Macaca fascicularis: one gene and its partners. The protein of the gene in region 1 purifies or fractionates together with the protein of each later gene. This does not show direct contact. Links are inferred from orthologs where the notes say so. Each region holds a gene or a part of one and is shown on either strand. Other genes may lie near its edges.

Region 1 (3,511 bases):
ACACATCTGCTAGTGAGAAGAGCCAAAATTCAAATCCAGATCTGTAACTCTAGGTCCAATGCCTTTCCAGTACACCACAAAATGTCTCGAAAAGAGAATACAGGGCTGGGCAAGGTGGCTCAGGCCTGTAATCCCAGGACTTTGGGAGGCCAAGCAGGGCAGATCACCTGAGGTCAGGAGGTCAAGACCAGCATGGCCAACATGGCAAAACCCTGTACCTACTAAAAATACAAAAATTAGCTGGGCATGGTGGCAGGTGCCTGTAATCCCAGCTACTCAGGAGGCTGAGGCAGGACAATCACTTGAACCCAGGAGGCAGAAGTTGCAGTGAGCTGAGATAGTGCCATGAGCTGAGATAGCGGCACTGCACTCCAGCCTGGGTGACAGAATAAGACTCCATCTCAAAAAAAAAAAGAACGAAAGATAAGAGAATACAGGCCAGGTATGTGCAGGATGCACAGAAGCAAACACATAACCAGAAGCGCAGACCCTTTAGTGGGTGATATATAAAAATGCACATGTCTCCCAACTGCTTCAATGCACAAAGGTGCTAGCAATTTATAATGTACCTGGTGAACACCTTGTTTCAGTTTGAGCCTCCACAATCCACACACCTTATTATAAAAGGAATTTATTTTCAGTCTCCAACTACTACACAGCACAGTTTCACAATAAAAATCTAAAATTGCACTGAATATATTCCCTTAAGTAAGGCAAAAGTGAGATATCACTTTCCCTATAATTAAGGGAAAGGGCTAAGAATATACATATGAATAATCAGTTCCTCCGCCTTCAAGTGATAAAAGAAAATTAGTGTTTCCCAAATGTTCATTAAAACATCTAGTGAGGACCGGGTATGATGGTTCATGCATGTAATCCTAGCACTTTTGGGAAGCCGAGGTGGGTGGATTGCTTGAGCTAAGTTTGAGACCAGCCTGGGCAACATGGCAAAACCCCAGCTCTACTAAAAATACAAAAAATTAGCCAGGCACGGTGGCGCATGTCTGTAGTCCCAGCTACTCGGGAGGCTTATGCACAAAAATTGCTTGTACCCGAGAGACGGAGGCTGCAGTGATCCAAGATCACACCACTGTACTCCAGCCTGGGTGATAGAGCAAGACCCTGTTTCAAATAAATAAATAAATAAATAAATAAATAAATAAATAAAACAAAACATCTAGTGAGAAAGGAAGGTAGTGTTAAATCTTTAGGGAGATGCGGGGTTGAGAGCTGGTTAGGAAAGGGAAATGTATAATTAAAATACATATACACATTTATATTACCTAAATATATTACTACATCTCTACCACTTATTAAGTGGCCCAGATCAAGGTTAAATCACCCCTTCGTGCTTCCTATTCTGAGCTCTAAAATGGAAATAAGTGAGATCATTACATACGTAAAGTGCTTAGTATACCAAAATGCTCAAAAAATGTGAGTTCTCCTGCACTCCTCACTTTACTGTCACTAAACTTAAATGTCTTTTTCCATTATTCTAAAATAAGCATGATAACCATTTGTCTTGATTGATAATGTTTTCTCTAACAGGGCCCTATAGATTTTTATAAGTACTGAGAGCTACAATACAGGTCCACAACCCCTAGCGGCAATTCTGGGAAAGCTCTGGAAACACAAAGTGTATTCCTAACCTATCTGGCCACAAAATCTGACATGACCTACACTATGATTATAAGCAAACAAACCTGACTAGCCTATGTACCATCTATTTATTCCACTAAATGTGAATACTGCTACTTTTTGCTGTAAAAATACTAATGTGTTTGGTTCAATAATGCTCCTTCAAACCCCAAGGGTAATAGAGATATTTATTAGACAATAACATTATATGCAGTGTATTTCCTTTTCAAAATCTAAAATCTAAATTCCAAAATACAGACGTGCCACTACAGCAATCCCCCAAAACTTCCAATAACAGCATGTGACCTGACATTAGACATTCCTTTCTTACTCTATCAACACAACACACTGCCCCTTAAACCTGAAAGCAAGCCCTGAGGTTGGCTGTATTTCAAAATGTGAGTTATGATTTCTAAAGTTACTTTCCAGAAAACCTGAGCTTTGGTCTCAGATTGTCCCCTAATTATTTACGTACCTTCTTGCACATCTGCAGGACTCAATTTCCTTATGGATAAAAATCAAGTAAACGAGCTAGAAATGCACCTCCTAGAAAATTAAGATGTCAGTAAAGACATCAGAGTGGTCTCAGTACAATCTGAAGTGGTTAGCTAGTAGAAATACTCTCAAGACATCATCATCAGAAAGAGTGCTAAGATTTCACAGAAATAAGGTAACATCTCTACCAAGTCAATATTGCCTTCCAGTGCTCTTTATGAAAAGCAATAAAGGAAAAAATGATCCACACATGCCATACACCACCCCCAGCCAAAAATAACAGAACAATTATTAAGTACTAATGTTGTAATATCAAACTTACTATGACGTTTAAATTCCTTCTGCAGTTTACTGATCTGGTTGCTTTTTATCCTGTTCCCAGATAGAGTTTTCACTTTCTTTGGTTTCAATGTAGTCTTTAGACTGGGTCCAGCCCTTGCATCTACCACCTGGAAGAAAATACTGAATATTTAATAATATTTTTAAAATGATACTAGTGTATCCCTTTGGTTCAGATCCGTGCCTATTTGAGAACCACAGTTTTACACTGAAAAGAGGGTGAAACTCCTCCATGTGCACCTTTAATCATCACATGACATAAGGGAATAAATAATATTTATCTAGTGGGGTTTTTTAAGATACTCTTTCCTGTGAAGTGGGTAATAGTGGGAGTCTGTTGGAAAAAAATTTAAATAGATTTGTATATGGGATAATCGTTACTGGATGACCCAACTAGGTTAAGAATCAAACCTAAAAACAACTCCATTTCTACAGGATAATGTTTTGCAGTTTATGAAAAGCTTTCAAATACTTTTTATCTTCAATACAAAGCAATAAACAGGGCTATTTTTGTTACTCCAATTTTAGACGGAAGGAAAACAAGGCAAAGAGAAATTATGCATTTTGCCTTATTTTACCAAGCAAGTAAATGGGTTAAGAGGGGTGGAGAGGGGAAAAGACTGGAATCAAGGTCTTCAGGTCTTTATGCTTTTTTCACTACACACCTTAATCTCTGAGGTGAGTTATATGACAGCAATAGCATGTTCTCCCACAGTCTAGCCCAGCCATTGATCTCGCCCCATATGGCCCTGTTTCTTAGGTATTCATTCACATTTATTAGTTGCAGATTTCTACCCCATGTAAAAAGGAACGTTGTTACCATCTTCAAAATCATGACCTATTATAATAGCATAACACTGTTATCAAAGGACAATGTAAGGCTAGTGTGAATGATAACTATGTGTTATACCTTCTACATATCATCTCATCCAGTTCTCACAGCTGCTCTGTAACAGAGCTATTATCTTTGCACTTCATAAATAAATGTAACCTGCCCAAAGTCCACAACTAGTAGTGGTAAAAGCAAAATTCAAATTCA
Region 2 (4,005 bases), on another chromosome or scaffold:
GAGAGAGAAATTTATTTGACTGCCTATATGATTTATATCACTAAATATTGCTAGAAATATTAGATCCAAAACCAGAAAAGACTTAAGCACTAGTGAAGAAATAAAAAACATGAAATCTGAACCCAAAACACAAAATATATATAAACATAAAACTGAAAGTTGAGCTCAGTAACCATGCGCAAAGAGTGAAAACTGGATGAGTTTTTAATCATTGATCACAATCTTCATGGAGCTAAGAATTTTTATAATCTCTTAGTCCTGTAAGGCCTACTATATTACTAATCTTACCAGAGCTATTAATACATCACAATTATAGATGATCCGAAAGCAGATTTCCCTGTCAACAAATTATAGTATCCCTTACCAACTTCAAATAGCTTAACTCTTGTGAAAGGAAACGTGTCTTCAAAGAAATGTAAAAACCTGCAAGCTTGCTGGGTGCGGTGGCTCACGCCTGTAATCCCAGCACTTTGTGGGGCAGAGGCGGGCGGATCACCTGAGGTCAGGAGTTCAAGACCAGCCTGGCCAACATAGTGAAACTCCGTATCTACTAAAAATACAAAACTTAGAGGGGCGTGATGGCAGGTGCCTGTAATCCCAGCTACTCGGGAGGCTGAGGCAGGAGAATCGTTTGAACCCGGGAGGCAGAGGTTGTAGTGAGCCAAGATCCAGCCACTGTACTCCAGCCTAGGGGACAGAGCAAGACTCTGTCTGAAGCAACAACAACAACAACAGCAACTGCAAACTTTACAAACTTTAGTGTTATTTGAAAAACTAGAAAGGTTCAATATACAATTATTAAGCACGTATCATTTTTAGGTTACCATTCATGTTTGTGCTCCATATCTGCAGAAATCCCCTTGGACAGTTTTTATTAAAATTTAAATTGTTTGAAAACAAGGATATGCATCTAAAGTTGCAGGAGCTGGAGCCAAATATTCTACATCTAATTAACTGGACGAGTTACTTAAACTCTTTCTAATCTGTAAAAGAAATATTTATATAATGGTCTGGACTCAGCGCATCAGTTTGAATTCCCTCCCCCCCACCCCTCCCCCAAACGCGGATCAGTCCTATGAATCCCATGGATTCAGAAAACACAAATTTATCAACTAAAAAAAATCAGAGACACTTATGTCACCCAAGAAGTGGATTCCTTTAGAGACTTTTAAACTACAGGATTACTGACGTGTTAACAAAAACAGAGAATGGGTCCAGGAAATTATCTTTAAAGTTCATATGGCTGTTTCCATACTATGTTCAAGGTCTGTTCCTCGATTCAAGGTTATTAAGCGCAACACATTTCCCCTTTTAAACTGCCCTCCTAGTAGCACCACCGATAGTAGGTGATAACACTGTAAGGAAGGTCGGATTCTGTCCCGGCTTCCCGGGTCGGCCCGTAAAGGGTGGTTTCGCCTTAACACTTAAAAGTCGGAGAAGGAGGGGCTTGGGGACGCCAGGCGGTTGCCCAGTCAACCAACCCACTTCCTCCTGAAGCCCGGAAGTGACACATGTCCCGGAACCTACGCGGAGCCAGGGTCCGAGACCCTCTGAGCTGCTAATCTCCGTCCTGATCCATTGGTTGGGAAAGAGATTGGAAACATCACCGCAAAACATGCTGCAAACCCCGACTCGGACTCCGCTGGGGCCGAACCAACGCCCTCGCACAGCCTCGACTCCCTCCCCAGCAGCCGGCTCGCCGCCGCCCCTCTCGCAACCAGCCATTTTCCAGGCCCGCGGGAACGCGCGCCGCGCCCCTCCCACTCCCACGTCACACCCGCAGGCCCCGCCCCCGGCGCGGGGGCCCTCCCCGCCACACACGCCCCTCTCTTCCTCTCCCGCGGGGGACCCCTCCCCTCTTAACCATTTTGCCGAAAGAGCTGGGCTAGGGCTGCGGCTCGGGGCGGCCGAGAACTTTCCCGGGGCAAAAGAGCGGAACGGACTGCTCTCCTCCCGGCCGGGGTAGGAGCGCGGAGGAAGGCCCCCTCAATCTGCCTCCGCGGCCTCTCGCCCCCTCCCTCCCGCACGTTCCAAAGCACCCGCACTCCGGGGTGGGGGCGAGTGAGGTGGGGAAGTGCGCCCCGCAGACCAGCGGGAGCCCGGCCGCTCACTCCCTCTGGCCCTTGCCCGGCTGCAGTCCTGGGCCGGGGCGGCAGGGTCTGCGGCACGGGGCAGGCGAGCGCCTGAACAAATGCTTGCTGCTTAAAATGGCTGATTCCCCTCCGCGGCAGCTGCAGCCGCTGGGTCTGCAGCGGGGGCTGACGAACAGCCCCCACCCCCACTCCGGGGACCCCAGAGAAGTACTCGCCCACCGCGGGGCAAGGAGGGCCGCGAACCCAGTCTCCAGTCCTCCCCGTCCCGCTCGGCAGACCCTCGGTGGGCTCGGGGAGACTGTCACGGGAGAAAGGGAAGGTGGCACTGCCCCGGCAGGCTCCCTGCCACCGGCTCCCGAGGCCGGCAGCCCCGCGGCCCCTACCTTGATATTTGTTGTCCAGCTCTCGCAGCACAGACACGTTCCTCTGCATGTCGTGGGGCAGCGACTCCACGCACTCAAGGTAGTCCTGCACGTAGCAGGTGAGCAGCCGGCTCCGCTCCCCGGTCAGGAGCGCGGCCGACGAGTACAGTTGCTGCTGCTGCTGCCCTAACATCCTGCCGATGCGCGCCGTCGCCGCCGCCTCCGCATCCAGCAGCCGCACATGCACCGGCCGCGGCCGCCGCGGTCCCTCAGCTCAGCAGCCCGGCGCCGCGGGGACCCCGCAGCCGCTCGAGAGGGCACGGCCGCGCTCCCCGATCTCCACTCCCCCCAGAGCAGCCCTCACTCCCCGCCCCCGCAGCACCAGCCCAGGGGCGGGGCGAAACTGGGGCTCCCTCCTTTCTCCCCTCCCGCTCCAGGACCGGAGCAGTGGGGATCCCCTCAGCGGGGCCGGCGCCGGGGTCCCGGACGCTGACACTTCCTGTCCCCCTCGGAGTCCCCAGATGCTACCAGTGCCGTCTCGCAGCCCGGATCCCCATGACAAGCCCGTCGCCGCCTGCCTGTCCCCAGTCACCCTCCGTGCCTGACGGGGAGCCTCCCGCTGGCCTGCCCCCGCCCCTCCGCCCGCGGCCGCCTCTGCGCCTGCGCAGCGCTCGATCCCAATAAGGCCGGGGCCCGCCCCTACCGCCTACCGGAGGGTTCGCATTCTCCCGCCTTCGCTTTGCCGCCCGGGCGATTGGTCTGCCGGCTCCGGGCTAGGGGGGGAGGGTGTCGGGGGCGGCCAAACGGCAGGCCGCGCCCCGCCCCCCTTAAAGGGGAAGCCTGGGGAGCCAGTCTCTGCGCCCCGCGTCTGAATGGGACCCGGCAGGGGAGGCGGCTCGGTCCTTCCGGCCGCCCTCCCCGCGGGGAGGGGCAGCTCCGCCCGGCCACACCGGCTTTTTACCCATCCGGCGGTCCGAGTGCGGCTCCTCGCGCCCCTGCAAAGGAGCAGCAGGCGGTTCCTTTTTTTCGGACGACCCGGAGCGAGGCCTGCAGGACTGCGCGTCCCGGCGGGCAGCGGGCGGCAGGCGGCGGGCGGCTCCCGGCATGCGCGGCAAGGCGTTCCCGCCGCCTCCGAGCTCGCCTGGGGCTGCCGCCCTCCTCCTGCCGGGCCCTCGGGCTCGTCCGGCACCGTGGGGCTGATCGGGGAGGTAGGCGGTGCTTCCTCCGGCCCCCGGCGTCGTGTGCCCTGCGGGTTTCGTGGCCCTTCCCCTGCGCTGGAATCTTCTATGTCATTTAGGGGGAAGGGATGCGGGACGGCATCTGCCTGCCAACACATAGGTCCCACAGACAGCCTTTAAAAACAACTGCGTTTGGGGTGTGTCAGAACATTTAAACACAGGACGTCGGCGGGGCTTCCTGGCGGAGTGGGGCACACGCCAGCTTTACGGGACTTTTTGCTTGGTCCTGCCCCAGGACTACAATCGGAGGGGACCTGGGGCATGCAGACGCGAGTAAAAACCTAGTCAGCGGGCGGGCCCTCGGCCCCGTAA
Region 3 (4,099 bases), on another chromosome or scaffold:
TTTTAAAAAAAGGAAACGAAAGGAAGAAAAAAAAAATTTTAATCTCAAAGACTTTCAACCTAACTACATTTCTTTTAACCAAACATTTATAGGGCACCTAAGAAGTGACAGGCACTACAACACTGGGAACTGTGACAGATTACATTTACTCCAAACTAAACCTTTTATTTATTCAGCTTCTGAACTTATTATTATTCAAACCAAAACTTTTCTTAAGAAATTCTCACCCAACATCAAGGTACATATATGAGTGACCTAATAAATGCACTTTTCACTGTTTTACACAGGTCACGAGAGTTATAGCTAGGATTTGTGACTAACAAAAGGGATTCATTCCTGAAACATGTCGATGCTGTTTTCTTTTACGTGAAAATGAGATAGGAATAAACTGTTTCAGGTAGTTTACAGCATCCCAAACTCAAAGAGAAAACCTTAAAAAAAATTAGACTACACTTAATTACTCTGTATAGTAGACCAAAATTTAAGTAGCCACAGCTTTTACCTTCTGCAACCACAGGTATTACAAATTTTAATTTGGATGCAGTACTGTCCAAGTCGTCTTGATTCTGAGGACAAGTGAAATTTTTTTAAAATAGTTCAAAGAAACTGTCAAAAGTAGATAACGTTGATATTCTAACATGCTATCTGTTGCATTTCTACACTTGTGAACACTCTACCCTTTTCAAGCACTTTTGAATTTGTAATGGATGAAAAAATACAAGCTAGTGTCTAAGTTCCACCAGTTGAATCTAGACTTTTCAAAAATCTAAGGTTTCATTCCAGCATGTGTTTAAAACAAAAAAGACAGCATTCATATACATATTCTCTCGTGACCAAAAAAACTGTATTTTTATGGTTATCATTTCTTCCAACAATTAAGCAAATTTTTTGACCCTATTCTCCACTCAGTTAACATGTTTACGTCTAAGAGGAACCTGGCCATCAGTTTTCCACACATCATAATGCAACAGAGCCTCTGACTTATTTGCAGACCAACCAGATCGATAAAGAAAAATAAACCACATAACCCCAAGTGCCTGGAAATACAAGAAACAATTGGTATCTCTGAACTGTGTAAAGATCACCAAAATTATCTTTTTAAATCTTTCAATTAAATTATGTTTGTGACGAATCAAAGAGTTTTCTGCTAAAATTTTACAGTACTGTTCACACAATAGATAAGATTTTCTTTCATCAGTGTAACTGATAGAACCACAATACAGTTCAGTTTCCAGGGTCAGATTACCTGACCTGCTTTTTATTTTACCTTTTAAAACACTTTAATTCATGCCGTTATTCCTCTCATTCCCTACAAAAAGAGGGGTTCAATATGGGAGAATCATCTTCAGTTGAGATATCCTGTAACTGCCTCCAACTCCACAGCAAAGCCCGCCAGCTGACCCCGGTCTCTCTGGGGAAGGGCTCGGTCACCAAGCCACCAAACACACCTTCCTCTGCAAAACTCGGAAGCCCCACACGACGACCTCGTCCAAACCCCCTACTTCCTGAATTCGATAACCCCAGAGATTCGTATTCTGCAGGCAATCTTACCTTCATGATGACTCTGGGACCGAGATATTCTTTAAAACACCGGGTTCACCTGCACCTGGAGGGGAAACAAAAGACACCCAGTCAACACCACAGGCACCCCTCTGCACTGGCGGAGGCGGAGGGAAGGAACCGAGCGACGCCCGAACCCCGAAGAAAGAGCCGCACCAGGCGCCAGCCCCCGAACCATCACACGCCGACTCGGGGCTCCCTCTGGCCCCGCCATCCCCGCAAACCCAGCCACCTACACAGCTCGGCAGCTTCCCGTCCCCATTGTCGAGACCCGACGGAGTTTCCCGTCTACGACAATGACGCCATTTCTGTCAGAGAAGAAACTCACAACAAGCCCGGCGTCCGGCGTGGGGCCGGCCGCTCTCCCCGCGGGCCTCAGCGCCCGGCCGAGCGAGTCCGCGCCCCCATGCGCCGCGTCCGAGGTGGAGGCCCGCCGGGGGCCACCGAGGGCCCAGGAGGGCCTGTGGGCCGCGGGCTGGACCGGCCCGCTGCAGAGCCCCTGCCCACGTCCCGTTCCGGGCGCAGACCCGACAAGTGGGAGCGGGATCAACATCTGGCCTCGCCGCAGGGACAACGTGAGGGCCGAGGGCCCCGGAGGCGGAACGGCCCCCACCCTGCCCGGGCCCCCGACCGCGGCCGCTAAACCGCTGAGTGTGCGGCCGCCCAGCCAGGGGGCGGCTCGGACACAGCGGCTGCGGGGGGTGGGGGCTCCCGGAAGGCCGAGGCCCCGAATTCGGGTGCCGCAGGGACCACCACCGCGATCTTCCTCTGCTCCTCGGTCGGGCCCAGCGACTCCCAAAAGAACCCCTTTAGGAGACCACGAAAGCCCCAGAAAATGTCCCTACCTTCCTCGGAGGCGAGATCTGACCCTGGCACGTCCAGAGTTCCCTCTCTCCTCCTCCCCCCCAAAACCAGTAGGCCTGGGGGAGAGATGGGGAAGAAGGGCGGCGGGTCCAGCGGCTGCTGAGGCAGAGGCTCCGGCTCCTCCTCCTCCCGCGGCGGCGACTGGTACCTTTGTTTGGCGGCCGCTCGGGCTCCCTGGTTGGGGGGAGGGGGACGACGAAAAATCCCTCCCGGACTGGAGGTCCGGGCCCCCAAACGCGCTGCCCTCCAGAGGACGGCGGCGATGGACCCTCTGCAGCTCCCTCCGGGCAAAGGTCCAGGCGGTGGCCGTGGCGGCGGCAAGCTGAAGCTCAAGACTCTCCCTCCGCTCCGGCGACCGAGCTCCTCACTCCGGACTCGACTGACGGGCAAACATCGCTTCCCCCCACCCCGACTCTAGGTCCCCCCCCTTCCTTTCTCCCCTCCCCTAGATTTTTTCCCCCTCCCCTACCTCTTTCCCGGATGGCCTCTTAGACAACCTTGGATTGGTTAAAATTCTTTAGAACCCGCCTATACACTGTTCCTATTGGTCGCTGGATACAAACAACGACGCCATTTTCCCACCAGTTCTATGGAAACAGAGAGTTACGCCTCAAGGCTTCCTGGGAAATGAAGTCCAGCCTCTGGGGCCAACGCGCAAATCCTCGTCCGCGAGAACTGCAAGGCCCGCAATGCCCTGCGCCAGCGTGGACCGGAGAGGAGGAGGGGTGAAAGGGGCGGGGCAACAAAGCAGTAGGGAGGTGGCAACGACGCCTGCGCAGTGTGACCGGGATGGCGCATTTTCTTGCACCGAGTAATGCGGTGTCGCTGGCGGCTGAGGAGGGCGGAGAGTTGTGTGGTGAAGTAGTGGGAGGGATTCATGTAGGCATCGGGAAGAGCCTAAGCCCACACTATAAAATAGGAGGTTAATGCGGGATACAGCTACTGCCGGACCGGCGGCGTGAAAGTCGTGATATCATCGTTGAACTGTGAGCAGCAGTGGCGGCGGCTGGGGGGAACCCGGATGGGAAGGAGGGAGGGGGAGGCTGGGAGGCGGGGCAGAGAGGAAAGAAAGAAAGGAGAGTGAGGACCCGGATGCTGAACCGGATTGTGTATGAATTTTCCATCCCCTAGCTTTAAGCGGGGAGGAGGAGGAAGGGTTGGCCAAATGCGGCGGAAGGGAGCATCTGAGCGAGGAGGAAGCAGAAACCTCACGGTTTCTCTCCCTCCGGACTCTGTGCTAGCACTGTAGACGTTTGCAGTTCTCTGCCCAGCCGCTGTGGAAAATCGGCCTCGAAGTGATAGAAATTCCCTGCTTATATCAGGCTCTTTGAGATCCATCGTCTTTCTCCCGGAGTATGAGTGGAAGGATTCAGGGTGCGCTTCACATTTGTATGTCTCTGTTTAGCCATTCTCAAACCAGGCCCTTCCTTTTGAAAAGATAAGTCGTTTGCATGGGATGTTCGCTTTTTAGACGCAAGGTTGTTGCCCTGGTTTCATCGTCCAACGCGTTAGAAGGCGCTTTCTTTTTTTCATGGCTGCTGAGCGCCGACCACTGGGGTGGCCTCTGCCTTCGTAGACCTGCGCCTGGCGAGATGGACAGATGCTGAACAAAACAATGTGAAATTACCGCAGTGGCAGTGCCCCAGAGGAGAGTTCCGCGGTGATAGGAGAATGT

Evidence for each region. The genes of interacting proteins can lie anywhere in the genome.
Region 2: the proteins of SINHCAF (region 1) and ING2 purify together in Homo sapiens (affinity purification with mass spectrometry; 3 studies listed by BioGRID and IntAct, counting the BioPlex papers as one, with this or other methods). This does not show direct contact. The link is inferred for Macaca fascicularis from reciprocal best matches to the Homo sapiens genes SINHCAF and ING2.
Region 3: the proteins of SINHCAF (region 1) and ARID4B purify together in Homo sapiens (affinity purification with mass spectrometry; 3 studies listed by BioGRID and IntAct, counting the BioPlex papers as one, with this or other methods). This does not show direct contact. The link is inferred for Macaca fascicularis from reciprocal best matches to the Homo sapiens genes SINHCAF and ARID4B.

What each region holds. Positions count from the first base shown.
Region 1 is NC_088385.1:33,857,279-33,860,789, forward strand, and holds part of SINHCAF (SIN3-HDAC complex-associated factor), read right to left. Parts: intron 2,583-3,511; coding exon 2,456-2,582; intron 1-2,455. UniProt on the Homo sapiens protein: Subunit of the Sin3 deacetylase complex (Sin3/HDAC), this subunit is important for the repression of genes encoding components of the TGF-beta signaling pathway.
Region 2 is NC_088379.1:188,295,841-188,299,845, reverse strand, and holds the start of ING2 (inhibitor of growth protein 2), read right to left. Parts: upstream 2,806-4,005; 5' UTR 2,649-2,805; coding exon 2,477-2,648; intron 1,628-2,476; exon of another isoform or gene 832-1,627; coding exon of another isoform or gene 825-831; intron 1-824. UniProt on the Homo sapiens protein: Seems to be involved in p53/TP53 activation and p53/TP53-dependent apoptotic pathways, probably by enhancing acetylation of p53/TP53. Component of a mSin3A-like corepressor complex, which is probably involved in deacetylation of nucleosomal histones.
Region 3 is NC_088375.1:13,791,577-13,795,675, reverse strand, and holds the start of ARID4B (AT-rich interactive domain-containing protein 4B), read right to left. Parts: upstream 2,806-4,099; 5' UTR 2,406-2,805; intron 1,607-2,405; 5' UTR 1,558-1,606; coding exon 1,552-1,557; intron 1-1,551. UniProt on the Homo sapiens protein: Acts as a transcriptional repressor. May function in the assembly and/or enzymatic activity of the Sin3A corepressor complex or in mediating interactions between the complex and other regulatory complexes.